Linked DNA regions of Canis lupus familiaris. The protein of the gene in region 4 interacts with the protein of the main gene of each other region in a pairwise test. Links are inferred from orthologs where the notes say so. Each region holds a gene or a part of one and is shown on either strand. Other genes may lie near its edges. The genes, in order: OTUB2, ATG9A, EIF4EBP1, REL, NGB, EIF5A2 and C18H11orf68.

What was found.
Region 1: the proteins of REL (region 4) and OTUB2 interact in binary tests that used the Homo sapiens proteins (3 or more experiments, as listed by UniProt). The two-hybrid records come from large-scale screens. The link is inferred for Canis lupus familiaris from reciprocal best matches to the Homo sapiens genes REL and OTUB2.
Region 2: the proteins of REL (region 4) and ATG9A interact in binary tests that used the Homo sapiens proteins (3 or more experiments, as listed by UniProt). The two-hybrid records come from large-scale screens. The link is inferred for Canis lupus familiaris from reciprocal best matches to the Homo sapiens genes REL and ATG9A.
Region 3: the proteins of REL (region 4) and EIF4EBP1 interact in binary tests that used the Homo sapiens proteins (3 or more experiments, as listed by UniProt). The two-hybrid records come from large-scale screens. The link is inferred for Canis lupus familiaris from reciprocal best matches to the Homo sapiens genes REL and EIF4EBP1.
Region 5: the proteins of REL (region 4) and NGB interact in binary tests that used the Homo sapiens proteins (3 or more experiments, as listed by UniProt). The two-hybrid records come from large-scale screens. The link is inferred for Canis lupus familiaris from reciprocal best matches to the Homo sapiens genes REL and NGB.
Region 6: the proteins of REL (region 4) and EIF5A2 interact in binary tests that used the Homo sapiens proteins (3 or more experiments, as listed by UniProt). The two-hybrid records come from large-scale screens. The link is inferred for Canis lupus familiaris from reciprocal best matches to the Homo sapiens genes REL and EIF5A2.
Region 7: the proteins of REL (region 4) and C18H11orf68 interact in binary tests that used the Homo sapiens proteins (3 or more experiments, as listed by UniProt). The two-hybrid records come from large-scale screens. The link is inferred for Canis lupus familiaris from reciprocal best matches to the Homo sapiens genes REL and C11orf68.

The regions. Positions count from the first base shown.
Region 1 is NC_049229.1:63,438,388-63,441,887, forward strand, and holds the end of OTUB2 (ubiquitin thioesterase OTUB2), read left to right. Parts: intron 1-1,008; coding exon 1,009-1,093; intron 1,094-1,704; coding exon 1,705-1,899; intron 1,900-2,876; coding exon 2,877-3,083; 3' UTR 3,084-3,136; downstream 3,137-3,500. UniProt on the Homo sapiens protein: Hydrolase that can remove conjugated ubiquitin from proteins in vitro and may therefore play an important regulatory role at the level of protein turnover by preventing degradation.
Region 2 is NC_049258.1:25,643,392-25,646,764, forward strand, and holds the end of ATG9A (autophagy-related protein 9A), read right to left. Parts: intron 3,372-3,373; coding exon 3,254-3,371; intron 2,814-3,253; coding exon of another isoform or gene 2,730-2,813; exon of another isoform or gene 2,553-2,729; intron 2,456-2,552; coding exon 2,233-2,455; intron 2,058-2,232; coding exon 1,912-2,057; intron 1,570-1,911; coding exon 1,564-1,569; 3' UTR 501-1,563; downstream 1-500. UniProt on the Homo sapiens protein: Phospholipid scramblase involved in autophagy by mediating autophagosomal membrane expansion. Cycles between the preautophagosomal structure/phagophore assembly site (PAS) and the cytoplasmic vesicle pool and supplies membrane for the growing autophagosome.
Region 3 is NC_049237.1:28,145,290-28,149,280, reverse strand, and holds the start of EIF4EBP1 (eukaryotic translation initiation factor 4E-binding protein 1), read left to right. Parts: upstream 1-1,191; 5' UTR 1,192-1,240; coding exon 1,241-1,385; intron 1,386-3,921; exon of another isoform or gene 3,922-3,991. UniProt on the Homo sapiens protein: Repressor of translation initiation that regulates EIF4E activity by preventing its assembly into the eIF4F complex: hypophosphorylated form competes with EIF4G1/EIF4G3 and strongly binds to EIF4E, leading to repress translation.
Region 4 is NC_049231.1:62,305,008-62,308,507, reverse strand, and holds part of REL (proto-oncogene c-Rel), read right to left. Parts: intron 3,157-3,500; coding exon 3,016-3,156; intron 1,710-3,015; coding exon 1,605-1,709; intron 1,036-1,604; coding exon 823-1,035; intron 263-822; coding exon 194-262; intron 77-193; coding exon 5-76; intron 1-4. UniProt on the Homo sapiens protein: Proto-oncogene that may play a role in differentiation and lymphopoiesis.
Region 5 is NC_049229.1:50,400,725-50,404,650, forward strand, and holds the start of NGB (neuroglobin), read right to left. Parts: upstream 2,801-3,926; coding exon 2,712-2,800; intron 1,349-2,711; coding exon 1,237-1,348; intron 499-1,236; coding exon 379-498; intron 1-378. UniProt on the Homo sapiens protein: Monomeric globin with a bis-histidyl six-coordinate heme-iron atom through which it can bind dioxygen, carbon monoxide and nitric oxide.
Region 6 is NC_049255.1:35,577,921-35,581,945, forward strand, and holds the start of EIF5A2 (eukaryotic translation initiation factor 5A-2), read right to left. Parts: upstream 2,801-4,025; 5' UTR 2,749-2,800; coding exon 2,584-2,748; intron 2,003-2,583; coding exon 1,898-2,002; intron 1-1,897. UniProt on the Homo sapiens protein: Translation factor that promotes translation elongation and termination, particularly upon ribosome stalling at specific amino acid sequence contexts.
Region 7 is NC_049239.1:51,853,655-51,857,853, reverse strand, and holds C18H11orf68 (UPF0696 protein C11orf68 homolog), read right to left. Parts: upstream 2,780-4,199; coding exon 2,646-2,779; intron 1,948-2,645; coding exon 1,191-1,947; 3' UTR 501-1,190; downstream 1-500. Other genes in the region: DRAP1 (dr1-associated corepressor), read left to right, coding at 3,224-3,265, 3,518-3,590, 3,702-3,795, 4,094-4,199.

The DNA.
Region 1 (3,500 bases), on a different chromosome or scaffold from region 4:
GGAGCTGTGCCGTTAGGGGCCTGCCATGGAGGCAGATAGGGCTGAGCCAGCACTGACAAGAGCAAGGGCCATTGGACCAGGTGTGAAAGGAGGTCAGTGCTGGCCAAGGTTTAACGGCTGTGGGACAGGGAGGCCTGACTTGTGTTAGCCCATCCTGTGGTTTAAATACTCCTGTCACAATTGGTTTTTCAAGCCACCATCATGGGGGTCACTGAGCAGGGATCAGGGAAGAGATAAACATATGCTACAGCCCAGTCATCTCTCCACCATCACACATGACAGACATATGTAACCTCAAGAGCAAAGATAATTAGGAAACGGAGTTTTAAATATTTAGCTTTGTGTTGTTGTATAATTCAAGTAATGGTGTTTAACCCCTGACTGGCAAAATCTTGAAAACTGAACAATTAGCTCTTGTGAATAGGTAGAGGGCACTGGTTGAGGGGACAGGGTGCTAAGGAGTGAAACACAGACGGGGAGTAAGTGGCTGTGGGTGGGAGGGAGGCTGAGAAGGGAGAGGAAATTGGGGAGCTAGGCAGGGGCCCTCCCTTGGATGTTTGTGCTGAGGAGCTGTGTCCTGAGGGAGGAGACTGTGCTAGGTCACTCCAGAGGTCCTTGTGGAGAAGGGACTGGGAGCATGGGAAGGCTGAGCATGGCCCTGGCCAGAAATGATGATCACATGGCAAGAACCACGGGGAAAAGGAGGAACAGAGTTCAGAAACCTTTGAAAGGTAGAATCAACGTCTGGGAGGGGATAGTGATTTCCTCAACCTCCTAATCTATGAACTGGGTGTAACACCCCCTTCCTGGGATTGTATACACTGGGGAGGAATAGAAAAGTCCGTGTGTGATCCACAGGGAAGTGCTCTGAAAGGGAGAGCAGTCACCTGGTAGTGGCACAAACCTCAGGTGTGGGGGGCAGTGGGTGTGAGCGGGAGGACACTGACTGTCACAGCAGTGCTCCATCATCATTTCTCCATGAGCCATCAGTCTTCCTTTCCCCTTCAGGTTCAAAGAACGTGTCCTGCAGACCCCAAATGACCTCCTGGCTGCTGGTTTTGAGGAGCACAAGTTCCGAAACTTCTTTAATGCTGTAAGTTAACCTGGGCAGGGTGGCTGAGGGTCCAGGTCCTTTCATGCTGGCAGAGCAGACAGGAATGGGCACTGGCTAGAGCCCCTCACAGCCCATGGTTCTGCTGTTATGCCCTTTTTGTTCCTCCCAGCTGGGGGAAGGACGGACAGCTGCTTCCAGCACGTGGGGACAGGACCCCAGGGCCCTGCCCTCCTATTGGGAAGGGGCACCTCCTTTGGGGCAGCTTTCAGGCTGGAAACATCCCCTAGTTTCCTTCATCCATTTCCTCTCCACCCTGCTCCCCTCCCTTATGAAGCCGGTGGGGTTGGAGGATTCAGTTCTGAATCCCAACAACCAGTGATGGAAGGAGACCCTAAAGTGCTGTGCCCTAGACAGGATTCTGGGCTAAGGTACACATTGCAGAGCATTTCTAACCCTCCTACTTAGCTTTGGTCCCAGATATTTATTTCGGTACCTCAATTAGAGCACTTAAAAGGGAAATACACATGGAGGGGAGGGTCCTGTGGAGAGAGTCCCATGGGAGAGGGGAGAGAAGGGGAGGGGAAGGAGGGGAGGGAGGGGAGGGAAGGTCTTGCCTGTGCCTCCCTCGACTGACACCTGGCGGAGTGCAGTTTTACAGTGTGGTAGAGCTGGTAGAGAAGGATGGCTCAGTGTCCAGCCTGCTGAAGGTGTTCAACGACCAGAGCTCCTCGGACCAAATCGTGCAGTTTTTGCGCCTGCTCACCTCAGCCTTCATCAAGAACCGCGCAGACTTCTTCCGACACTTCATTGATGAGGAGATGGACATCAAAGACTTCTGTACTCATGTAGGTCCTCAGAGTCTCAAGCTTTGGGGACTTAGCTCCCAGCCCTGGGATCTGCTGTATCAATACCCACCTCCTGGGATTGTACACACAGGGGAGGATGGTGTGTGGGCCGTGGGAAGGTGCCAGGAAAGCCCCTCTTCTCTCAGGAGACTTTAACACCATCATCCCTTGCCAGGGAAGTTGAGGTCACGTCTGCATTTGTAATCTGAAGAATAAGATTAGCAAGCCAGAAACTGATCCTACTTGAGCTGCCTGAACTGTGTGGCTGTGGGTGTACATCCATCTGAGAAATGAGGGCCCTGTTTACAAAACTGCAGAGTAGCAGCCCCAGAATCACATCTGTCTTAAGATGTGTTTTATGATGTATGGTAATTATCTGAAACGGAGCTGCCAACATTTAAACCTTGGGTAGCTTTCCTATCTGGATTTCTCTCAGAAGATCCAGCTCTCAGGGCTTTATTCCTGCATGGCAACAAACAGCAGGAGCAGAGTAGCAGCACCCTGGTTATGTGGGACACGCATGCCAGCCTGCCACCATCTCTCTGTTGCCTCTTCAGCTCTCGGACTCACTCATTCGCCTAGCCCTCTGAAATCCCTTTTTGATGTCCTCTTCCATTCTGGGATTCTCTGGTTCTGTGCATTAATAAGTCCAAGCTCAAATATTCCTGCCCCCCCACCCCCGTTTTTGAAAGTAGTGTTGTTCTCTTCTTACATATAGTTAGAGTCGGGAATCAAAGATATCTCGAATCGAGCCTTGCAGTTCTACTGTGTTTCTGGTTGCCCTTCCTCACAGGGTTTCAGTTTCCTCCTCTAGAAAGGGGGATGGAAGTATCTACCTAATGAGTTGTTGTGAAGACTATTTCCCAACATAGATGCTTTAAAAGACCCAGGGCCATGAAAGCCAGAGCTGGGATTCTCCTGTGTCCTCTGCTAGGCCTCCTCCCTAAACTGATTTTTTTTTATTCTGGCCTTGGCAGGAAGTGGAGCCCATGGCCATGGAGTGTGACCACATCCAGATCACAGCCCTGTCTCAGGCACTGAACATCGCCCTGCAGGTGGAGTATGTGGATGAGATGGACACAGCGCTGAACCACCACGTGTTCCCCGAGGCTGCCACCCCTTCCGTTTACCTGCTCTATAAAACATCCCACTACAACATCCTTTATGCAGCCGATAAACGTTGATTAATTTTAGGCCATGCAGTGGAGCCTGTCACCTAACGGGACTGCATTCTAAATGGAACATTCCGGCTTTTCAATTTTTTAAGCAACTTAAACTATAGTTAGAAAATGTACAGCCTTTTGGGCAGAGTCACTGGGAATGAGGCCTACCCATTATGGACTGTGGTAATTTGAGGATCAAATGCTTTCTAACTCAGGGCTACAAAGCCAGAACCCCTGGCTCTGCCCCCAGTTCCCTGAGGCCCTGGGCAAGTCACCTCCCCTCTCTGGGCCTGTTTCTTCATCTGGAAAAAGTATTTGCCAGTGCTCACGTTCTACTGTAAAAAATAGGCCCTCTGGTTTCCTTTCACCAGGGGCAGAACCTCTGTGGGGGAAGAAAAGCTCAAGGTCAGCTGTCGTCTGTGACTTACCTGTTCTACA
Region 2 (3,373 bases), on a different chromosome or scaffold from region 4:
CCCTGCCCCGCGCACGCGCCGCCGCCGCGCACTCACGCAGGGCACGCACGCCCTCCTCGCGCGTCCGTCCGCCCCCCGCTCGCCGCCCGGGACCCTCCGGCCGCGTCCGGGCCCAAGGAATGTGGAGCGTGCGGCCGGCGCGGCGCCGGCGCGGCAGCCCCGCCCACGGGGCGGCCCCAGCCCCTACCGGGGCCCCCATTGGCCAGCCTCGCCGAGGGGGCGGGGCGCGGGGAGAGCGTGCACGCGGAAAAGGCAAAATACAGGGGCGGGGCCGGCCCGGTCACGTGCTCAGAGCGCGAAATCTGACCGCACGTCCGACCCGAGACCTTGACCTCCGCGGCGCGGCGCTGGGAGGTGGTCCTGCTCGCTGGCCCGCCCGGTGTATCCGAGTGACGGCGTCGGCCCACCTTCCCACCGCCCGGCCGGGCCCCCACCAGCAGGGGGCTCGCCCGCACCCCACTCCGCTCCTTCCCGGGATCCCAGCCGCGCGACGCAACAAGCCCGGTCAAAGTCCCTTTTTTATTAAGGGTTATCAAGCTGTACACAGTTCCTACGCCTTCCGCTGTGAGCCCGGGCAGCGCCGCGTTCCACGCCCGCAGCGGCCCGGGCGGGCGAGGGGTGGGGCGGAGAGTAGGAGCTGGGTCCCAGCATGCAATGCGGCAGCTCACAGCCTCGGGCGCAGGCCTCCTGTCGCCCCTCCAGCCCCGGGGGGAACAGCGGGAGGCAGCCCAGAGCTCTCTTGCTGGGAGGTAGACAGCCGAGGGCACAACCAGCCCAGTCCGTCCTTTGTGCAGGCGGTTAAGGGGTACAATAAGCAGCAATGGAGGCCAGGACGGCCTCAGTCTCTCAGGGGCCCTGCTTCAAACTTGGAGAGGGCAGCAAAGAACTTCCATCCTGCTCCTGCCTTTTAGAAACCTTCCTTCGTAGTGTCAAAAGGTAGCATGAGAGGAGCTGGGAGCTAGGGTCTCCACACCAGTGCGAAGCAAAAGCTGAACAGAACGGGAGCAAGCGAACAGAACAGAGTAAGCGGCATACATGCCTGTCATGTGCAGGAAGCAGGAGAGGTGAGCAGGCTGTAGCACTGGGAGAGAACTGGGGGTGAGGTAAGGGCCACAGCCTGAGCTACTCATCTGTTCGGGGTGGGGGAGGGAGGCTGCAGAGGTTGAGGGTCCGGGCCCAACCTCCCCACTCCACAGTTGGCACAGGTTCTCCCTGCTTGGCAGCTTCTGTGGTGGGCAGTCCTCTGGAGACTTGCAGGGGTGGGTGCAAAGGTGGCAGTACTGGGGCTGGACCGGGGACCAGTTTCTAGCACCACACTCTGAGCCAAGGGGGGTCCTGGGGATGAGGCTAGAGTCCTGTGTGCCTTGGTTCCTAGGCCCCCAATTTCTCTCCTGGGGCTGCGGCAAGCCCAGCGTTGGCACCTCCCTTGGCCAGGCACAGACACACAAACACCACACACGTGGAGCCAGGCAACAGTCAGAGGAGCCCTCCATGGCGGGCAGATGGGATGGCAGGGCAACCGTGGCCTCCATCCTGGGACATAGGGACCCTCCTCAGCCTTGTCTATACCTGTAGAGAGAAAAGGGTCAGTAGTGGAGACCATCTTCAGCTATCTGCTTACCACCTTCCTGCAAAAAAGCAAAACAAAAACACACACACACACACACACACACACACACACACAAAACCTTGGAGATAAATGAAGGGGAAAGCTTGATTCCAGGGGAGGAAAGTGAAGGGGAAAATTAAGCCCTGGATTCCAGAGTAGGGGAGGCAAAAAATGGGAGTGTATTTTGGAGGGGAAGGGACAGTACCTCCATACGAGAGGCCTGCCTTCTTTCACAGGAGACTTTGATCTCAGCCTGGAAGTTACTACATCTGGTAGCTGTTCTCCAGTCCTGGGGCCCTTACCTTGTGCACCTGAGGGGGAAGCTCATCCTCCGAGCCCTCCTCGGGCACCGGCTCTGGGTGCCTTGATGCTGACTGCCCATCTTCAGCCCACCCTCCAAGGGGCAGCCGGGAGAAGTGAGAGGGAGCCCGGGGTACCGTGCCAGGATCTAGAGACACAAGTAAACATGGTCTTAGAACGAACACAAATGTGGAGCAAGGTTCTGGGGCTGTTCAAGGTGGGGGTAAGGGTTAGTCTCTTTGGGCTTGATCCCTCTGACTTCTTTCCTCCCCAAGAGGCCCCCCCAAAGAGCCACTGTACCCTGCTGTACCCCCGTTGGATACCTGTGATACCCCCATAGCGCCTCTGGAAGCCCCCCTGCAGGGCGGTGGTCTCGGGTGCTCCAGGCCGGGGTGCAGCACAGGGATAGCTGGCAGAGCGGGGGATAGGTTGGGAGGCCCGGGAGCCCTCTCCCCCCTCTTCAGGGGCGCTCTCCCCACTCTCATCGCTCTCCCGGCGATGCCACACATGCCGCTCAGGCTCGGCCTGGGCTTGCTGTTTATGGAGCTGAGAAGTGTGGGGAGTGGAGGGTGACACTCATTAGTTAAGGCTAGGATATCTGAAACAGCTGCCCCCACTACACTGTTCCAAATGTTCCCATTTCTGGCACCGCGCCCAGAATCACTGACCCAGAGTAACTATCTTATTAACAGTGTGTAAGACACATACGACATCTTATAGGTTAAACTCTCAGCAGATCCCTGGAACGAACCTGTTGCATAAGTTGTGATGGCACTCGTTTTGCCTAGTCATTTGAGTCAAGAACAAGTTGGTGGTACATCTAAGTGCCAGGCACTCTTTCAAGGTGCCAGGAAGATAGCACTGAACAACAGACAAAAATCTCAGCCCTTGTTTGGCTTGTATGCTGGAGGCAGAGGTGGTGCGGGGGGATCAGAGACAATAAAATAAAAGAGGGAAAATGCAATAGATCAGATAAATGCTACAGAGAAAAATAAAAGCAGGGAGAGTCGGGGGTGGCCAAGGGAGACTCTTTTGGTCAGGGTGGCCAGAGACGTCTCATGGAACAGTTAAGAACAGACAGGTGATTAAAGGAGGGAGCCATAAGCATATCTAGGGAAGTGGATTCTTGGCAAGGGAAATAGCAAATGTGTCAAGGCCCCGGATGACAATAAGCTTGCCTAAAAATGGATGGCAAAAGGGTATCTGCAGGAATGGAGCTTAGAGTAGGTGAATAACAGACAAGGGTTCCAGACCCATGTCTTGCTTTTCCTTGCCTAGAACCCTCTATTCTATTTGTCAGTGGCCAGCTTGACTCTGTGGCTCTGCCCCTTGCTGCCCACTCACCTGGTGCATATAGAGGGCGTGCAGGCTCATCTCGGTGGATGCGTACTCCGACAGCACCAGGCTCTGCAGCTGTCCTTCCCACACGCTGCTCCCGGAGCTGGCTGTCCTGGCATCCACCCT
Region 3 (3,991 bases), on a different chromosome or scaffold from region 4:
GGGGAAACAAACAAACAAATACCACCAACAAAACCCTAATCATGTCACTCCCCAACTTAAGAGATCTCTGATATCTCCTACCCTCCTAGGACAAAGTCTGAACACTTTGGCATGATTTAAAAGACCCTTCACAAAAAACAAAACAAAACAAAAAAAACCTTCACAATCAGACCCCAATTTATCCTTTAAACTGTTCTTCGTGGGGCACCTGGGAGGCTCCATGGTTGAGCCTTTGCCTTAGGCTCAGGTCCTGGGCTGAGTCCCAAATTGGGTTGTTGTAGAGGGAGAGCCTGCTTCTCTCTGTGTGTCTCTCATAAATAAATAAATAAAATCTAAAAATAAATAAATAAATAAACTGTCCTCCTGTCTCCTCTCCCCTTGTATCAAGTAGCTGCAATGACAGACCTGGTCTCTCACCCCACGGGCTTCTCTGCCTTCCTGGTATTTTTCAGTCTCCACTTGGAGAGCTCCTTGAAGCCTCATTCATTGGCCGGTTCGATGAGTGCCCTACTAAGTGTCAGGCGGCCTGTTGGCCCCGGTTCCCAGCTCCCAGGGCCGCAAGGAACCTCCCTGGCCCACTCTTCCCCGCCCCCCCCCCCCCCCCCCCCCCCCCCCCCCGGCGTCCAGCCCCTCCCAGCGCCCGGGTGGGCTGGAGCTGTAGCCTGCAAACGAGCTGGGCGGCCCGTCCGCGCTCCTCCCACACCCTCCCCCACGCCAAGGAACGCCCCCTCTGCGTTACTTCTGCGCCCCGCGAAGGCTCAAAAAAAAAAAAAAAAGCCCTGAGGGGTGAAGGAGCACTCAACCCCCACGTTCTCACGGCAGGAACCGAAGCGCGGAACACGGAGCGCTGAAGGAGACCGTCCTGCCCATACAGGACCCTCCTGTATGCAAGGGTCCCCGCACAGCTCTGACAGCACCCGGCCGCGAGCCGTTAACCCACACAAGCCCCCGGCTCCATCGCCGCCGCCAGCCGGACCGGACGGACTCCCGAGCAGGAGCGGCGGGCCGTCGGGGGGCGGCGCCCGCAGCCGCGCGGAGGAGACCGCAGACCGCGAGAGGGTGCCTCAGGGCCGGGGTGCGGAAGAACGCACGAACCGGCAGCCCGGCCGCCGCGGCGCCGCTGGGACTACAAATCCCGGGGGGCGCCGCGCCGCGGGGGCGGAAGGGGCGGGGCGAGGTGGGCGGGGCCGGGGCGGCCGTCGGGCCAGGCTCGGGCTGCGGGCGCGGCGCGCGGGAGACCATGTCCGGAGGCAGCAGCTGCAGCCAGACCCCGAGCCGGGCCATCCCCGCCACTCGCCGGGTGGTCCTCGGCGACGGCGTGCAGCTGCCGCCCGGGGACTACAGCACCACCCCCGGCGGCACGCTCTTCAGCACCACCCCGGGAGGTAGGCGCGGGCTCCGAGAGCGGGCGGTGCGGGGGGCTGACTGAGCGGAGCGGGAGGGGTCGGGAGCCGCCAGTTGGACGGGGCGACCGAGCTAAGGGGCGCGGTGACTGCAATAAGGCGCATCAGGGAGGCAGCGAGGGTCGCGGAGGTGGCCACCAGGAGCGAGCAGATGGTCGCTGCCCATTGCCTACCCTCTGGGTGCGTCCCCCCGAGCCCGGACTGCAAACTGCTCCATGAGTTTCCTCCTCCTGGGAGAGACAACCGAGTACCCCTACGGAAACATCCGCACGCTTGCAGAACGACCACATGCCAGGGTGTGCTGCCCCTTGTGGGTTTGGGGGCGTTCTGAGGCAGAAGAGCGTGGGGTCAGAGTGGCCTGAGAGCAAGGGGAGGCCTGGCCTGGGGCTTTTAGGGGATGGGGACGGGCGTTCTCTGTCGGGGTAAACGACTCTTGAAGAATCCTTTTTCCTTCCCGGGGCACCCCCAGTTTTCCACTGGGCCAGCACCCTCTGACGGGGGATTTGGGCTGACGGCGCCCGTCTGCTCCAGCTGCGCCTCACCTGCACCTGAGCCAGGTTGCCGGCGTACGCGTGTGCTATCTCCGCAGAGGGACCCGGAGCCGCGGGCAGGGCTGTGCAGAAAAACACGTTCTTCGGTCCGGGGGGGAGGGGGAACCGTGTGACCTCCCTAAGAGTGTATGAGGAAGAGGAAGCTGAGCTGGCACGGGTGGGGGCCAGCCTTGGGCTGCCCTCGGGAGCCAGGCATTCCCTCCCAGCCCGGGAGCTCCGGCGCACAGGCGCTGATGAAACCTGCCCGCCCGTTTGCATGATGAAATCCTCGTGGCTCACCACTTCCCTGTGATCCTCGTCCCTCTGCCCTCACCCGCTGTGTCCTTCTCCCCTCCACCCTCCTCCACCGCTCCGGCCCAGACTGCACCAAAACGCCGCCGCAGAGTGGCGCTCCGTTGAGAGACACGGGTGCAAGTGGTCGCAGGCGGGGCGGCAGCCTCGTCCCTTGCCAGCGTCTGGGAGCCACATGCTTATTTTCTCAGGCAGCAGTCCCACCACCAGCAAACACTGACAGATCCGAGGTCTCCCGCCGGTTGATCCAAAACATACAAGGTTAGAACTGTCAGGGATTATGGATGTACTTGTTTCACAGAGGCTCCAAACTTGAAAACACATGTCCCTTATCCAACGTCACATGGTTTATCAGGTTGAACAGGAAATAGTATCCAAGCATAAAGGGGTAAATGCTCTCTCTTTTATTAAAAATGATCAAAGGGAAAGTTCTCAGTGAGCCTTTGCTCCACTCTTGACTCAAATTCTCCATCCCTGCGAAACGTCTTTTGTGACCCCTTTGGTGGGCGTTCTCTGTCATGTTGTGCCTACCAGGATCTGTCCTGGATGATTTTGGATTTCTGTTAAGTGAGGGTGTGAATCTCCACTTGATCTGTCCAGAGTGGGCACTGAGGCAGGCCTGAAGGCTCAGGTGCTCTTTTTTGCACTCTTCGTTGCTGCATGGGGACAGGTCAGTTGGAAGCCATGGCCAGTGTTACTGTTTACAGGGAACTCTGATCCACTTCTCATGCTGGACTGGGAAATGGAGGGTTGTTTTGTTTTGTTTGTTTTTGTTTTGGTAAACAACAACAAATCTCCCTTGGAAGGTCTTTAGTTGGAAAGGGTCTCCTGGGTCAGAGCATAACTTTGTTTCTGAGGCCAACTGGAAGGGAGCTAGCAGTGCCAGGAGCCTAAAGGCAGCTTTCTTCTCTGGGGTGTTCAGCAGGACAGGCACAGCTCACAGTCCATAACTTGGAAAAACACTTCTTGCTAATGTCAGTAAGTCTGGTCTGCCTCAGTGAGCCAAGGCTTGCAGTCTTCCTCCAAAGCCCAACTTTACTCTACCCTCAAAGAAGCTTAACCTAAGGTCATTTCTGGCACCCTTTTGTTCTGGTCTAGATGTTATTTTCTCATTCCTCAATGGACATATGAATTACCTGGGGACCTCATTTAAATACAGCCTTTGGTTCTGTAGGTTCTGGGTTTGGGCCTGAGATTCTACATTTCTAACCAGCTCCCAGTGATTGATCTAAGTACCACACTGAATACTCAGGACTATGACTTCCCTCACCTTTTCAGACCTCTGGGGTCTGGCAAAAAGTGATGCTTCTAACCAGGTAAACTCTTGAGGTTGGGTTGGCATCAGCCTTCAGACCAGGGTCCAGAAAGAGTCTGTGCAGGTGCCAATAGTAGCTTATTTGCAAGTGCCAGGAGCTATCAGAGTGTCCACAGGTCACTTTTGCTGAGAATGGCACTGTGGTGTTCATCCCCAGAGGAACAGAAACAGCAGTTGATTTGATTCGTAAGACGCCAGTTTACTTCTCTTGGTCATTAATCTTTCACAAGCTAATCCACTGATCTGGTTAGAAGTCTGGAGAACTTTAGATAAATTTGTTAAAAGGAGTGTTGTATATGAATATTTGAGCCTGTGGAGTCTTAAAAATGATCAATGACACAATAGACCAGCAGAATCGTTGTTTTTGTTTTTGTTTTGTTTTGTTTTATTGGAGTTCAATTTGCCAACATATAGCATAACACCCAGCGCTC
Region 4 (3,500 bases):
ATACCTTTTTTGATGAATCTTCCTTCTCCAGTTGATACTAGGGTACCAGGTCTAGGTCTTTCAGGAAAATTAACTGCTGTGATAAAGTTTTTCCATTATTAAATGCAATTTAAAAAAACATCAGCTAAAATTTGGAAAATTGAATAAAGCAAAAAACCCAAAATCTATTTAAATACAAATCAAATACTCTTACCACAATCTTGCCACAGTTTCTGGAAAAGTAGAGTTGTTTTTTGTTTCTTTGCTTTATTGCCATAAGTATCTGGTTAAAAAGAAACGAGGAAAACATGTAGATCATCATAGGTTTATGTGGCTTCTCCTTTAAAAAACAGGTGTTTTATTCCCATAAAGTGCTTTAAACAAATGTATATGCTTTGGATTTATTAAGTGTTGCAGAATGTGTCCCAAGTAGGTAGTAAAGGGTCTAATACTCATCTTGTTTTCTCATAACACCTATAAGTTAACAATGTCAACTAACGCAATAAGGGCAGGTAAGGACGAAACCAAAATGGAGACCATTCTGAATGGCAAGCTTTCCATCTATAAAAAGGGCACAATAAGGACAAAAATAGAACCTCAAATATAAAATAAATTTTGGTAAACAGTTCAGATACTCTGAAATTATTCTAGATTCCTTTCCAAAGACAGGAATACAAAGAGCATAAATATCAATAGGTTAAAAAAAAAAAATCACCGAAAAATTTTCTGGAAATAAAACGTGAACTATAAATAAACCTAACAGTATGCAAACGTATCTTACAAGAAAATGGTATTAGGAGAACTTTAAGAAATACATAAAACCTTACCACCAAGAACTCATACCTTTTTCATCTGGCAGATATCTAAAATCCATTGATTCACTAACTTCCTGGTCAGAAGGTCTCCGCAACTGCATTTTTACTGTCACTGGTTCTGTTATAGCTCTGCAATATGGTGGAGTCTTAAAAACAATGGCTACTTGACGGTGTACATCAGCTTGCGAAAATATACCTTTTGCTTCCCAATCATTCAACACGAACCGAACTTCTATGTCATCTAATGAATATAAAAGCAAAGGAACAGCAATGGAAAACAAAATCCATCTATTAATCTAAAATACAGATGGCTCCCAGCTGATGATGGTTCAACTTGACAATTTTTTGACTTTATGATGGTGTGAAAGTGATATGCAGTCAGTAGAAACCGTACTTCAGATTTTGATCTTTTCCTGGATTAGTGATAGGCAGCATGACATTCGGAAGATGCTGGGCAGTGGCAGCAAGCCACGTCAGCTACATGATCAGGACGGTAAACCACTGATATACTCACAACTGTTCTGATTTTCACTTTCAGTACAGTTTTCAATAAATTACATGAGATAGTCAATACTTTATTATAAGTAGGCTTTGTGTTAGGTCATTTTGCCCAACTATAGGCTAATGTGTTTTCTGGGCATGTTTGAGGTACACTAAGCTGAACTACGACGTTTGGTAGGTTACGTGTATTAACTGCATTTTCAATTTAAGATTATTTTCAATTTACAGTGAATTTATCATGGTATAGCCCCACTGTAAGCCAAAGAAGATCTGCATATTCTAAATTCAATGAAACAAATAAATAAATACCTTTCTGAACTTTATCACATAGTAGAAATATTTCATCACCACCTCGGACACTTCCACAGTTCTTGTTTACACGACAAATCCTTAATTCTGCAGTATTAGGAGCACCTAAATAAAAAGGATTTTTTAATGAGTTTCTGTCTTAGTAATATTTTTTATTCTTTTTTTAAAAAAAAGATTCTATTTATTTATTCATGAGACACAGAGAGAGAGAGAGAGAGGCAGAGACATAGGCAGAGGGAGGAGCAGGCTCCATGCAGGGAGCCCGATGTGGAATTTGATCCTGGGACTCCAGGATCATGCCCTTGGCCGAAGGCAGGCGCTAAACTGCTGAGCCACCCAGGGGTCCCATTTTTATTCTTTTTTGATGGTGAGAATTCTAGGGAAACAATTTATAGGACAGATAAAAGCTTTAGTGTATAAAGAAATTAAGGACATTAAGTACATTAATCATTCACACCTGTCCTTTTCCTTTCTGACGACAAGCCCACCCTGGTCTATAGCCTTGTGACTTCATTTCTCAGCAATAATAGGTCCACTAGTTAAATTTCCTTGTTCCTAAATTCTCATCCTTTCAATCCATCCATACACTGTCACCAGATTAATCTCTTAAATCATGACTATAACCCTATAACAAGGTGATTTCACGCTCCCTTTTATTAGGAATATAATTTCAGTAACTCTCCCTGGCAATTCAAAATTCTCCGTGAGAAGGATACCCTGATCTACCATTATAGGCCTATGTGCTTCTAGATGCAAAATAGGCCATCATATACCAGGAATGGATGCATATATAAGAGCAAATATGTACACGTGTGCACAAAAACTTTCAGGGCAATTTCATAATCTTTTAAAACTATAAATATCCCTATCCTTTGATCCAGGATTTGCCAACATTCATACTACTGTAAAATTATGCTAGAGACACATATGCACAAAATATGCATATACAGGATATTTACTGAAATACAATTTATTAGAGAAAAAATCAAGAAGGAAACAAACCAAATACCTTGTTTGGTTTAATAAGATGATGATACAGCCATATAAGGAAATATGCAGCTACTGAAGGGAACAAGGTACCTCAAAGGGAAAAGGCTCAAGATCCATTGCTAAGAGAAAAAATTTTTTTCCAAAGGATCTGTGATGATTTAAGTTGCTAAAAGTATATTGTATCAAGGATAGTGATAATGTGTTTTTATATATGAAGAAACTGGTGAAATATGTACCTGAGGATATAGATTATCTTTGGAGGAGGAGATCAGAGAAGATCTAGTCTTCTTGTTATTTCAGTAATGCTTGAATTGTTCTTATAATGAACAAACTTTCTCTAATTGCCAAAATACTTTAAAAAATTAAACTAAAAAACATATAAATACAATACAATACAAATACAATAAAATAAAGTACTTACGGTTGTCATAAATCGGGTTAGAGACAACAGGAGGTAGAGCCGTTGTCAAATTACCATGTTCATCAGGGAGGAAAACTTGAAAACATAATCTCACCACGTTGAGGTCGCAATCTTCAATATCCAGCAGCTGTTGTTCAGGGACTAAATAGTACATTTTTTTTTTTTTAAAGAATGTAAAATAGTCACATAGAACTAAAACCCTGCTAGGTCCTCCTCCCTGCCCAACATTTCCAATAACCCTAAGTAGCATCCAATCTGTACTAACAAAATAGAAGAGTATAAAATCGCAAGAATGCCTTTTATCAGGATCATCATGTAGTCACAGGATTCATTAAGTTATGTGCATGGTCAGGAAGTAACTATCCTAAGTCATCTGAAATTTAGAGCAGAATGCCAAAATGATATTAATAACCAACCAAATTTTTACAAAAAGGGTTGCAGGTTATACACAACAGAGAATAGGGAGAGTATAAATCTGTATGAGA
Region 5 (3,926 bases), on a different chromosome or scaffold from region 4:
GACACCAGCCCCTTCGTGTGGAGCTAAAGCACTGTCCCACCGAACCCAGAGAAATCAGGAATCGTTTGCTTGGGATGGTTTTATACACGGTAACAGGAAACTGAGAAGACTGGCCAATCCCAGAAGCTCTTTAACTTTCCACGGTTCTAAGAGAAGCCAAACCAGGGAAGAAAAATTGGAGGCTCAGAGTCGTCAAGGCAGTGTCAGGGGTCACACAGCACAGAAGTAACAGATGCAGCCCCCCCACCATCCACCCCGCCTGGTCCTAGTCATCTGAGGGGATGGGAATAGGGAGAAAGAACAGATGAACAGGGAGGACTGGGAGAGTTGGGGCCTCAGGTGAGGCGCTCCAGAGAGAGCAAGAGCCCCTTTACCCACCGAGAAGGAGCTGAGCTTCACACCCACTGCACGATGCTTCTTGCCCAGGCCAGCAAGGTACTCCTCCAGCGAGGACAGGTCCTCTACATTGGTCACAGCAGTGTCAATCACGAGCATCACCTGCCAAGGCCAACGCAGCCGTGAATCAGAGAGGCCAGAACAATCCCACCTGCTCATAACCACAGTCCAGAATCTGGGGATCCAACCAGGAGTAAGAGAGGTCACCAGGACCCTCGGTTTGCCAGGATCAGAAATGCAAGGTCATGGGGCATCTGGCTGGCTCGGTTGGTGGAGTGTGAGATTCTTGACCTCGGGGTTGCAAGTTCAAGCCCCATGTTGGGTGTAGAGATTACTTAAAAAAATAAAATAAAATAAAATCTTTTAAAAAAAAGAAAAGAAATGCAAGGCAATCTGTGTGTACATACAGTAGGCACTCAACATGTGGCCAAACTACTGATGTTAGACTGTGATGGCAGCTCCTCTCCTCTAGGGTCTCAAAGCCCTAAACACGACAGCGGGATGGTGCTGTCTGCCCCAGACAAGGAGAAACTGAGGCACTGTGAGAGTCATGAGCCTCTTAGGGAACCCCAGCCTGGGCGTCAGAGGCAGATGGCCCCTAGTGGGTCAGTGCCAGTACCATCTCTGGGAGCTGGGGACCAGCTGGCTGCACACACGGTGCCCCAGGCTCTGCCCAGCCCAGCACATAGGGCAAGGAGCAGACATCTCTGGCCTGGGGGAGCGGCAGAGGGGAATGAGACCAGGCCAGGGCAGAAGTCACTCTCCTGAGGAGCCCGAGTCCCTCACTCTCTCCTGGGAAGGCGTCCTGCTGGATCTGAGGCCACCCCGCCTCCTCCTCACCTTCCTGATGTGGTCCAGGAACTCGGGGGAGGACAGGCAGTCCTCCGGGCTGGAGAACTGGCGGCAGTTGTACTGGAAGAGGGGCAGCAGGTCAGGCTCCAGGTCAAACAGCCTGTCGGGGGAGACCCACGTGTCAGCCCTGGGGTGTTGGTCCCCCCAGGCCCCGGCCAGCCCCGCGCACCCTGGCTGCCCAGCAGGCTGGGGTGGGGGTGGGGAGGCAGGGATTCAGCTGGGAGCTAGAACACCCCCTCCAACTGGGCACTGACCCCTTTGCCAGCTTTGCTGGTGACCCTTTCTCACCTCTTCCACTGCTTCCGAGGGTCATCCTCTCCCGGGACCTGGCATAGAGCAGCCCTCCATAAACAGGTCAGGGGGCTGGGACAGGGAGGGGTCCTCAAATAGGAAAGCCCTTCTCTCCTTTCTTTCCTCTTCTCTCTCTGTGTCTGTCTCTGTCTGTCTCCCTTCCACTCTTGGGTCAGAACCTCCTAGTCTCATCATGTCTGCAGAGGCTCGGCCAGTGATGATAACAGCACTATTAAGAACTCCTTAGGGCAGCCCCAGGGGCTCAGCGGTTTGGCACCACCTTCAGCTCCGGGCGTGATCCCAGAGTCCCAGGATCGAGTCCCGCGTCAGGCTCCCTGCATGGAGCCTGCTTCTCCCTCTGCCTCTCTCTCTCTCTCCTCTCTGTGTATTCTAATAAATAAATAAAATCTTTAAAGAAAAGAACTCCTGGGCACTGAATACTTTACATGTGGTTAACTTCTGTATCCCTCACAGTCCTCAGCAGCAGGTATAACTGTTACCCCAACTCTTACAGAGGAGGAAGCAGAAGCCCAGAGAGTGTAAGTCCCTTGCCTCCGGTCACACAGCTTGGAAGTAGCAGGAGCACAGAGGGGGCCCGAGACAACAGCGGGCTTAGGGAAAGCTGGGAGGCGCCAAGTGGGAGCTCATCATTCACATCTGAGAGGGCTCATGGGGCTTTCGGGTAACCCCACTAATCGATTCCCCCTTTGTTTGGGGAGGCGGTTTTGCAAAACAGCCTCCTCAGAAGTTCTGGGCTGGCTTTGGGGGCCAAAGCTCCGGAGAAACCACGGTGTCCGAGCCGTGCCCTTGGTGATGGCAGAGGGGCCGCTGTTCCTTTCCCCCTGGGGCCCGCGCACCCCCTGGCCCCGGCCGCGTCTCGCGGTTCTCGGGTCCCAGCCCGGCCCCAGCCCGGCCCCAGCCCGGCCCCAGCCCGGCCCTGTCCTCCAAGGGCGCGCCCCGGGCCTGGCCGCGGCGCAGGAGCCCTCGGGGCGCCCTCAGGCACCACCCGGGGGCCCGCTCAGGAGCCGAGCCGAGCGGAGCGGGGAGGGGCGCGGCGCGCGCCGAGGGCGCCCGGAGATGGCCGGGACCCGCCGCCGGGAAGCCCCGCTCGCGCCCTTCTGGCCGGGGCTCGCCCGCCGCCCCCTCCCCGCCCGGGGCGCGCGGGCCCTCACCTGGCGAACAGCACGGTGCCGTGCTCCAGGGGGCTGCGGCGCACCGCCCGCCAGCTCTGCCGGATCAGCTCGGGCTCGGGGCGCTCCATGCTCGCCCGCGGACGCCCTGGGGGCGCGGCCACCGTCACCGCACGTGCCGCGCCATGTCGGCGGCGACGCGGGCCCCTCGGCGCCCCCCGCGGCCCCCCGCGCCCGCCCGCGCCCGCCCGCGCCGCCGGGACCCCGCTCCGGCCGCCGCGCCCTGCGCCCTGCGCCCTGCGCCCCGCGGCTCCCACAGCGCCCCGCCCCGCGCCGCCCGACCCGGCGCTTTAAAGCCGCCGCGGCCCCCGCCCCCTCCGTCCGTCAAGGCCCTCAGCCCCGGGCAACCGGCTGTGGCCGGGGACGACCCGGTGGCCCGGAAACGCCTGGGCTTCAGAGCTCAACAGAGAGCGTCGAGCCTCTCCGGGCCCGTTTCTCGTCCAGGACCCGGTGACGATTCCACCGCTTGCTGCTTGGGGCACCGATCGCACCCGATGGCGACGGCGTTGGGGAGGCTCTGCACGGGCCACCTCTCCGCAGCCTTCCCTCGAGGACTACCTGGAGGCATTAGAGCCTGCGCCCCCTTGGCACCGGGTCTCCCTCCTTCCGCCCCGACGTGGGGCCCCGTGTGAGCGGCTGAGGCTGGGGAGGCCCCCGCCCTGCTCTGGCTCTGACGAGGCCCGGCAGGCTGCCCACCACCTCCACCTCCATCCCGGCTCGCTGGGCCCACTGGGACTCCCAGCCTTAGGGACAGCGGCAGGACTGCAGCCATTTCCAGCCAGGCCTGGGTTTCCCTAGGCAGCATCTTTAGCAATCTGTGAGCTCCAGGTCTGGCCCCGGCTCTAGAGGCCTGGCCAGGCCCCGGGTCTTGCGCACAGCAGCTGTGACCCATTGAATACCTGGACTTCAAGGGAGTCAAGTTCCAGCATTCTACTATTCCATGGTTTTCAATAGGCTTTTTAAAAATTTTAAATAGAAGTACCATTTTGTTCTTTAAATTGAAGTCCAGGTAGTGGAATCTCATGCTTGCCATTCAGGATGTGAAGTTGACCCCGTGTCAGGCCTAAACCTTTCTGTTTCTCTTTTTTAGGGAGGTAGGACAGGGGCAGAAGGAAAGGGAGAGAAGCAGACTCCCCGCTGAGCAAGGAGCCCCACACCTGGCTGGACCCCACGACCCTGAGATCATGACCTGAGCCA
Region 6 (4,025 bases), on a different chromosome or scaffold from region 4:
TACCTTGTTCCCCTCACCCTAGTCTGGACCCTGCTGTATCCCCAAATAAAACCCAAACCAAATTTTTCCTTTTTGTTAGATCTCGAACTCCAAACAATGACTGGTTAATTTGATCATAGTAGTAATCATATGAATTACTGATACTATCTTTTTGAAATGCCCAAAAGCAAAAGCATTCTGTATTAAGTACATATTAATATATATATAATAAATATTGAACATTCAAAGCATTCACATGTTAAGGATGAAAACAGAAATCCATTTTTTGGTAAAAGAAAAGTCTATACCTAGCCTTAGCTACACTATCCTTACTTCACTGAATAATCCCACATGCATTTAACAAATGTTTATTGAGCACCCACTATAAGCCATGTCTAAATTAGGTGTTCCAAGTACAAGGGAATGGTTAGATGGAATTTTTATGAAGGCAAAGGGGGGGGAGCAGAAAAGAATTACTTTTTGGTACATATCTACCGATAAGGTAATTATGGGATACATTTTCTCCTTAATCCTCCCATTATCCTTCCTTTGTAGATGGAAGATTGAGGCTCAGAGAGATTGTATAATTTGTCCAAGGTCATCCAGCTAGAAAGTGGCAGGAGCAGATCTAAACCCAAATTGTTTGATTAAAAAAACTCAATATGCTATTATTATAATAAGACAATGCAAATTTCTAGAAAGACTCCAAAGCAACCTAGAAAACATTTACAAGTGGGAAAGTGAAAATATACAACTGCTTAGTAGAATAAACTATGTAAAAATAGGGACGGCTGGGTGGCTCAGCAGTTGAGCATCTGCCTTCAGCTCAGGGCATGATCCCAGGTCCAGGGATTGAGTCCCTTATCAGGCTCCACGCAGGGAGCCTGTGTCTCTGCCTCTCTGTGTGTGTCTCTCATGAATAAATAAAATCTTAAAAAAAAAACTACATAAAAATATTTTTACATGTGTACAAAATAAAAGGAAATCATATGTTAACTGCAGTTGATGGTAACATGTATATAATAGAATAAAAGGTACAGCAAGAAATCAGTTTAAAATGAATGAAGAAAATCTAAGTGTCACACTTGCATTTCTGACTCCATAAAATGAACAAAAAAGAGTTTTATATACGGTATGCTTGACGATGAGATTGAAGACTTACAATAAAGACTTTAGTTATAATTAATCTGAGGTCCCACATCCTATGAGGTCAATGGTTTGGTTACCACCAATACTCCGAAACAACAAAATGCTATCATTAAACATGACTTATCCAAATGTATAATTGGAACTACAAGTTGGAAGTCTAAACCTATAATTTAACAAAAGGTCACAGCATGGTCACTGAATGTAAATAAAACAATTAGATAGTTTTGTATTTTCTTTACCATATGCCATGGTGGTATACTTTATCCCTTACATTAAAGACTTTCAACTCACTTCCCTATTTAAGAATATCAAATTCTGACTCACATTCAATAATATACAAACTTGATTGGGGGAACATGAATTCCAATGATTTCTTAAAAGTCTTAGGCTTGACAAGTGAAAAGAAATAAAATATCCAGGGGGGAGTTATCTGAATTGGAAATATTTTACAACGAAAGCTTAGTAGTTTCACTGAACACTGAACTTAGTCACAATAAGCAGTCCCTTGGTCTGAGAAATAATAAGACATGTTCAACTTTTTAAGAATGCAAAAATGTCAAAATAAAAAGCAAATCAGCTATAATTCTAGATAAGATACAAGTGTTAAATACCACTATTTTCAATTTCTAAGATAGGTGGTGGTGCTTAGTACCTGGTTAGAAAAACCTACAAAACTACTACCAGGTTTTGTTGAATTCCTGTTGATAGTAGAATGCATTTACAACTTTAAGAAACAAAAAACACCATTTTAAAGGAAGCTAGTACTCACTTGATAATCGTTTCTCTTAATATTTGGAACATCCATGTTGTGAGTAGACGGGCAAATATCTTCATATTTTTTGCCCGTGAAAATATCAATTCCGACAAGGTGAACCTAACAGAGGAGGGAGAACAGGAAACCTGTTTAATCTTTGCCAAGTATATCACTCATTACACACACAAGAGCACAATACCAAAGCTGATTATGACAGATTCTTTCTCCTTCCAAGGTCATCTAATTTTATTTTCTTAAAAAAAAAAAAAAAAAAAAAAAAAAAAAAAGCAGGGGTCAGAGAATTGAGAAGCAGCGAACAACGAAACAGCTTCACGACCTATCAAGACCCAATTCCTAGTCTAGGAATTCAGTTATAAGACTGTGTAAGAGAAATGAAGTTATGTTAGAACAGGTTTTCTCATCCATAAACAGAACATGTATTCTAAATCACTGGGATTCAGGAAAAAGTTTCCATTACCGGTTAACGAAACATTATTAAGGGCCCAAACAAGGAAATGCTACCTTTCAGTATTCAAAAAGCCATGGCTGGTCACTCAGAAATCGTGGTCAAGAAAAAAAAAAAAAAAAAAAAAAAGTCATTATTGCCGAGTTATAAATATGGAAATCTCACGTTCCCTACTGGAATACAAAATGATCAAAACAGCAAGGCAAAGGGAGACCGGGGAAGGGCACTGACTTACCTTGGCGTGACCGTGCTTTCCGGTCTTGGAAGTTGACATTTCCACTATTTTGCATGGTCGTCCTTTGAGAACCACGAAGCCGTTTTTGCGCAGGGCCGAGCACTGCATAGGGTAAGTGCTGGAAGCCCCGGCATCTCCAGTGGTGAAGTCGATCTCGTCCGCCATGGTGGGCTGGGGCGACCGTAGCTTCCTCGGGGGCGGGGGGCGGGGGGGGGGAGGGAAACTATGCAAAAAAAAAAAAAAAAAAAAGTTTGTGTTCGCTTTTTTTTTTTAACAACGGGCACGCAAGGCAGGGAGACATCACATTTCGGACAGGCTGCGGGCCAGACATCGCGGGTCCAGTCCCCACCCCGCCCCCGCCCCCATTCGCGGAGCACCCACCCGGGAATAGTGGGCACTTTCTAACTCGGGCCTCTATAAACTTTTGCACCCGGAGGAGGGAAGTGGCAGGAGGGCTCGGCGGGGGCGGGGGCGGGGGCGGGGGTGGGGGCGGCGGTGGGGCTAGACGCCCCGGGGGCAGCCCGCCCGGCCCCGCCGTCCCAGCGCAGGGGCAGCCGGCGACGGGGGGCCCAGCCCAGGCCGCGCGTCCCCGCGCACGATGGGGATAACGGGACCTGGGCGGCCGCACCTGGCCCCCGGCCGGCTCGCGCTCCGCCCTCCGTCCTGCCGGCATCCCCGGCCCGCCCGGCCCGGCCCGGCCCGCGTGGGCCTGCGCCCCGGCTGCCCCATCCATCCTTCCTCCTTCCCTCGCTCAGCCTGCTCCGGCCCGGCCTCGCTCGGGGGTCCCGGCCCCTCCGGCTTCGCCCACGTCCTCACCTTCCAGCCGGGGACAGCGAGCCTGTCGCCTGCGCACCGGCGCGGGCCCCTACAGCTGCGGCGGCGGCGGCCCCGGCGGTTCCAGGAGACGGGGCGGGGCCGCCACACTTTCCACACCCCGGCCTCCCCGCCCCCGCCCCCGCCCGCCCCCGCCGCAGCCCCACTTCCGGGATAGGTCCCGGCGCGTCACAGGCCCCGCCCCCCGCGCCACCATTGGCCACGCGGGTCCCGAGGCCCCGCCCCGTCACGTGAAGCGCGCCCTGGCAACCCCACGTGCTGCGGATTAGTGCACTTCCGGCGTGAAGTGAGCACTTTCTCAGGGCCTGCGAACTTCTGGGTTCGGGGCGCCCGGGGTCCCCGTCGGAGTCAACGGTGAGCCCGAGCGCGCGCGTGGCGGCCCCGGCCCTTCAGGGGCCTGGCGGTTGTCACGTGACGGCCTCAGGTCGCGCGACGCACGCGACTTCAACGGGGCTGCCCTGCGTAGTGGTGGCGGGAACGTGGAGCTGCAACCGCAGGCGCAGGTGGGCGCTGCCTCGAGGCCGAGCCCGAGGGCGGGGCTGGGTGACCGGTGATGAGGTTCTGGCAGGAATCGCCCCCCCACCCCCGGGCGCCCGGACGGGTCCGCA
Region 7 (4,199 bases), on a different chromosome or scaffold from region 4:
CAATATCTTCTTCTGAATAGGTCATGAGACTTAAATAATACATATGGAAGTGCCTTGCAAACTGTCCAGTGGCCCGTGACAGTCAGGGTGGGAGAAGTGAGTTCTTAGATGTGAGTTCCTTATGGCTGTACACATCATTCACCACATAAAGATGTCCAACCTAGGCTGTTGAAACCTAGCCCATCCTCTACTCACCAGACCATATGCCCTAACCTAGAAATGCCAGGACCAAGCAAATACACCCTATGCGCGGTAGCCTCAGACTTTGCTGGTTCAAGCTCCTAGATTTATGAGAAATCACTGAGAAACCGATTCTGATTCTTGGGATGGAGGAGAAGCAGGACTAGCTTTGCAGAGGCTCTCAGAGAGGCTCCCAGCCTTGGCAGTGAGGTGAATCTTATTATAGGAGGCAGTTAGGCGTACCCATGTAGGGCAGAGAAGCAGGCTTTCCTGGCCCAGCTTCTTTCCAGAGACCAAAGCAGGTAACCACCAACACAGTATTTTAAAAAACACTCAAGACACAGACCCAAACTGGGTTTTATTGAAATGCCAGGAGCAGGCACATGTCAAGGTAGTGAAGGAAGGAAGGTGGTGCAGGGAAGGAAGGAAGGTGGTGCAGGCTGTATGAGGTGGCAGGGAGGGGCAGGACCCATGTCCATGGCCCTGGCATCCCCTCTCTCTGCCAAGGGCTGAGTGGGTACAATCACCCTTCCCCCACCCTACCCCCAAAATAGCATGCTTAGGCCTGCAGGGCCTTTGCCCCCTGGACTAGGAAGGCTCCAAGAGGGACTGGAAGCACTAGTTTTCTCTCTTGTGAGGGAGGAGAAGGAAAGGATGCAGGAGAGGGAGGTACACCTGGGGAGGAGGGTGGCTAAGGAAGGCTCTCCTCCTGGGAATCTGTACCCAGCCCATGGTCCTGGATGACAGAAGGGAGCAGCAGTGAAAAGAGAGGCTGAGGGTCCGGCCCTCAGGGAGCCAGAGCCTCCAGCTGGTGGGAACTTGAGTCAGCCCTGAACAGAGGGCAAAGGTTCAAAGGGACCAAAGATGCAGGCAGTTTCCGATTGACCTGGTCCTCAGAGCTAGGGGGCTCAAACTCCTTGGGACAAAGAGGAGGAAGACAGGAGGATCCAACCGTAGCAGGGAGCTGAGTGGGAGGGGGGCAGAACGTGGTCTCCCCCAACTTGGCCACACTAGGTCAGTTCCACATTGTTGGCGCGATCCAGCACACGGGAGCCACGGGTACTGCCCCCCAGCTGAAAACGACTCTCATAGAGAGTGGGGCAGAGGTGCCAGCGGTTGGCCCGGTAGATGCCCAAGTAGGTGTAGACGTCAGGTTTGTAGGTGAGCAGGCACTTAATGCCTGCCGCACGGATGGCTGCATCTGCCTCCAGTACACCTAAACGGTCCGTGAAGTCATCGGTGTAAACACAGATGACCTGGCGCCCACCCTCCCTGGCCCGTGGGCTCACCTTGGCCACCTGAAGCTGGCCCTCGACCACAGCCCGAGCAATGCCAGCCCAGGCGTGGTCCAGCTTAAAGCCAGGTGCCAGGTGTATCAGCCACTTGCCAGACAGCACATGATGGGTGATAGCCAGTTGGCGCAGGGTACTCGGTGTGATGGGCCGCCCGCTGGTCTGCAGAGCCTCCCAGGCTGCCTGCAGGCCCTGCACATCGCCCGAGTTGGGGACATAGCCTTGCCCATATGCTGCAATCCAGCCCACGGGCTCAGAGTTGGGTGAGCCAGGGTCCCCATAGCGAGTAACTTGGGATGGTGGGTACTTGGCCAACCAGGCATCCAGCTCGGTGGCAGGTGTGGTGCGAGCATCAAACACCAGCCAGGGGTCCATGTCAGCTGCCATGGCCTCTGCGGCCAGGTGCTCAGCAGTGAAGCCATCCTCGCGGCCGCCTGGAGAGTCTTCCTCCTCCATCTCTTCACCTGGCTCCATCCTGCCATGAAGGAACAGAGTTAGAGCAGGTCCAGGACAGACGTACAACGTGCTGGGCCCTAGCTGGTGCAGCCAATGGGCTTAAACTCCGTGGCCTTAGGCAAGACTTAAGGTCTGGTGCCTCAGCTGCCTCATCTTTACAGTGGACAAAAGCTGTTCCTGTCCCGTAGAGCTATGGAGCATTAAACGCCTAAGGTGGAATAAGCGCTGCATAAAGGTTATTACTAATGCTATTACCACTCTCCCCAATTTACAGACCAGAAAATCGAAGCTCAGGGAGAAGTGACCCACCCAAGGTCACACCTGCAATGAGTGACAGGGGCCGAAATGTGAATTCAGGTGTGGGAGCAACCAGCCCAGCTACACCTCCCGGCCCTGCCCGGAACTGGCAGGCATCCCGATCGCAGGATTCAGCGGAGGGAGGCAGAGAAGCGCACTTTCGCGTAGCATCGAGGCAGGCCCAGCAGGACCAGACCCCCGGGCTGGCGCTGTCGGGCCTACTTGAGCACGAGCACATTGATGCCCGGAAAGAGCCGTGACCAGTCCAAGGCCAACGGGGCGACAGCCGGACTGGAACCCAGGCTTGGTAGAGCCTACGAGAGCGCCAGCCTCGGGCCCGCCGCGCCCGCCGCCATTAGCGCCCACAGCCCGAGCCGCGCCCCCGCCCAGCCCTGCCCCCTCCCGCAGCCCCGCCGTCACCTCCGGCCTTCGCCGCGCTCGGCGCCGGCCCAGCCCCGCGCCCGGCTACGCTCCTGCCGGGGCTCCGCGCCGCCGCCGCCGCCGCCGCCGCCCCCGCCGCGCCCCGCCCCCGCCACGGCTGCCGCCGCCGCCATCTTAGCGCCCGCCGCCTCAACAACAACTTTATAGACAAGCGCAGCACGGGGCGGGGCCGCCGGGCCTGTCGCCCGCGCCGCGGGGCGGGGCCTGCGAGGGGAGGGACTGACCCCGGGGGCGGGGCCGCCAGGGGAACCGGGGCGGGGCGGGGCGGGGCCTCGGGGGCGGGGCTAACGTTCGCTTTCCTAGGCTTGGGGGCCGGCGGGAGCGGCGCTCCGGTCCCGGATCGACGCGCACCGCCCGGGAGGCCGCAAGGGGAGGGCGCTCCGGCCCTGCGAGCGGCGTCCTGACCGGCGGCGCTAGGACCGCGTGGGGAGCGGCGGGGGCGGAGCAGGCGGCACCAGGACCCGGGGGAACCGCGGCAGGCGGGTGGCGAGCAGGCCCGGGGGCCGGGAAGCTGCGGGCGGCGGCGCTGGGCCCGGCGTGGCGAGAGAGGCCCTGAGATGCCGAGCAAGAAGAAAAAGTATAACGCGCGGTTCCCGCCGGTGAGCACGTGGCCAGGCCCCCGAGGAGCGGGCCGGGCTCTTTGGAGGCTCGGGCCCGAGCCGGGCTTGGGGAGGTTGCGTGGGGGGGCGGGCGCACCGTGGTGTTCGGGGTACGAACGCCCCGCCCCCTTCCGTGCCCTCCCGGCGTCCGGGTCCCCAGCCCTCTCTCCCGGGAGAACCTCTCTCGTTAGCCCCCAGCACCCCTTTCGGGGATGGAGGCGACAGGGTCCGAGTTTTCTGCCCCCTCCCCAGGCGCGGATCAAGAAGATCATGCAAACTGACGAAGAGATTGGGAAGGTGGCGGCGGCAGTGCCTGTCATCATCTGTATCCTGTCGGGGCCTGGCCAGGTTGAGGGACCTGGGGTAGGGAGGGAGCCCGGGGTCGCCTTGTTTAGGTTGGGGATCCCCCACCCGTGTTCTCCTTGACGCTCCTCAGCCCGGGCGCTCGAGCTGTTCCTAGAGTCGCTGTTGAAAAAGGCTTGCCAGGTGACCCAGTCCCGAAACGCCAAGACCATGACCACATCCCACCTGTGAGTGGCCTGGGAGCTGGTTGGGCCCAGTGGAACCTTGCCCCAGGAGTTCACACACTTAGGAGAGGTGGGAGGCTGCTGGGAGACCAGCAACGCCTCGAATATGGGTGGGTTTGAACTGGGGGAGGAGGGGTTGGGTGGTGTAGCAAGGCGAGCAGGTTCCGTAGTGGAGATGGGATGGAGGTTCTCCAGGCTCTATCCTCCTGATATCCATCTCCTGATATCTCCTGCTGTCCCTTGCTGAGAACCCAGACATCTGGGCCCCAGCTGAATTCCATCTTCTCCTCACCTCTTCCAGGAAACAGTGCATTGAGCTGGAGCAGCAGTTTGACTTTTTAAAGGATCTGGTGGCCTCTGTGCCTGACATGCAGGGAGACGGGGAAGACAACCACATGGATGGGGAC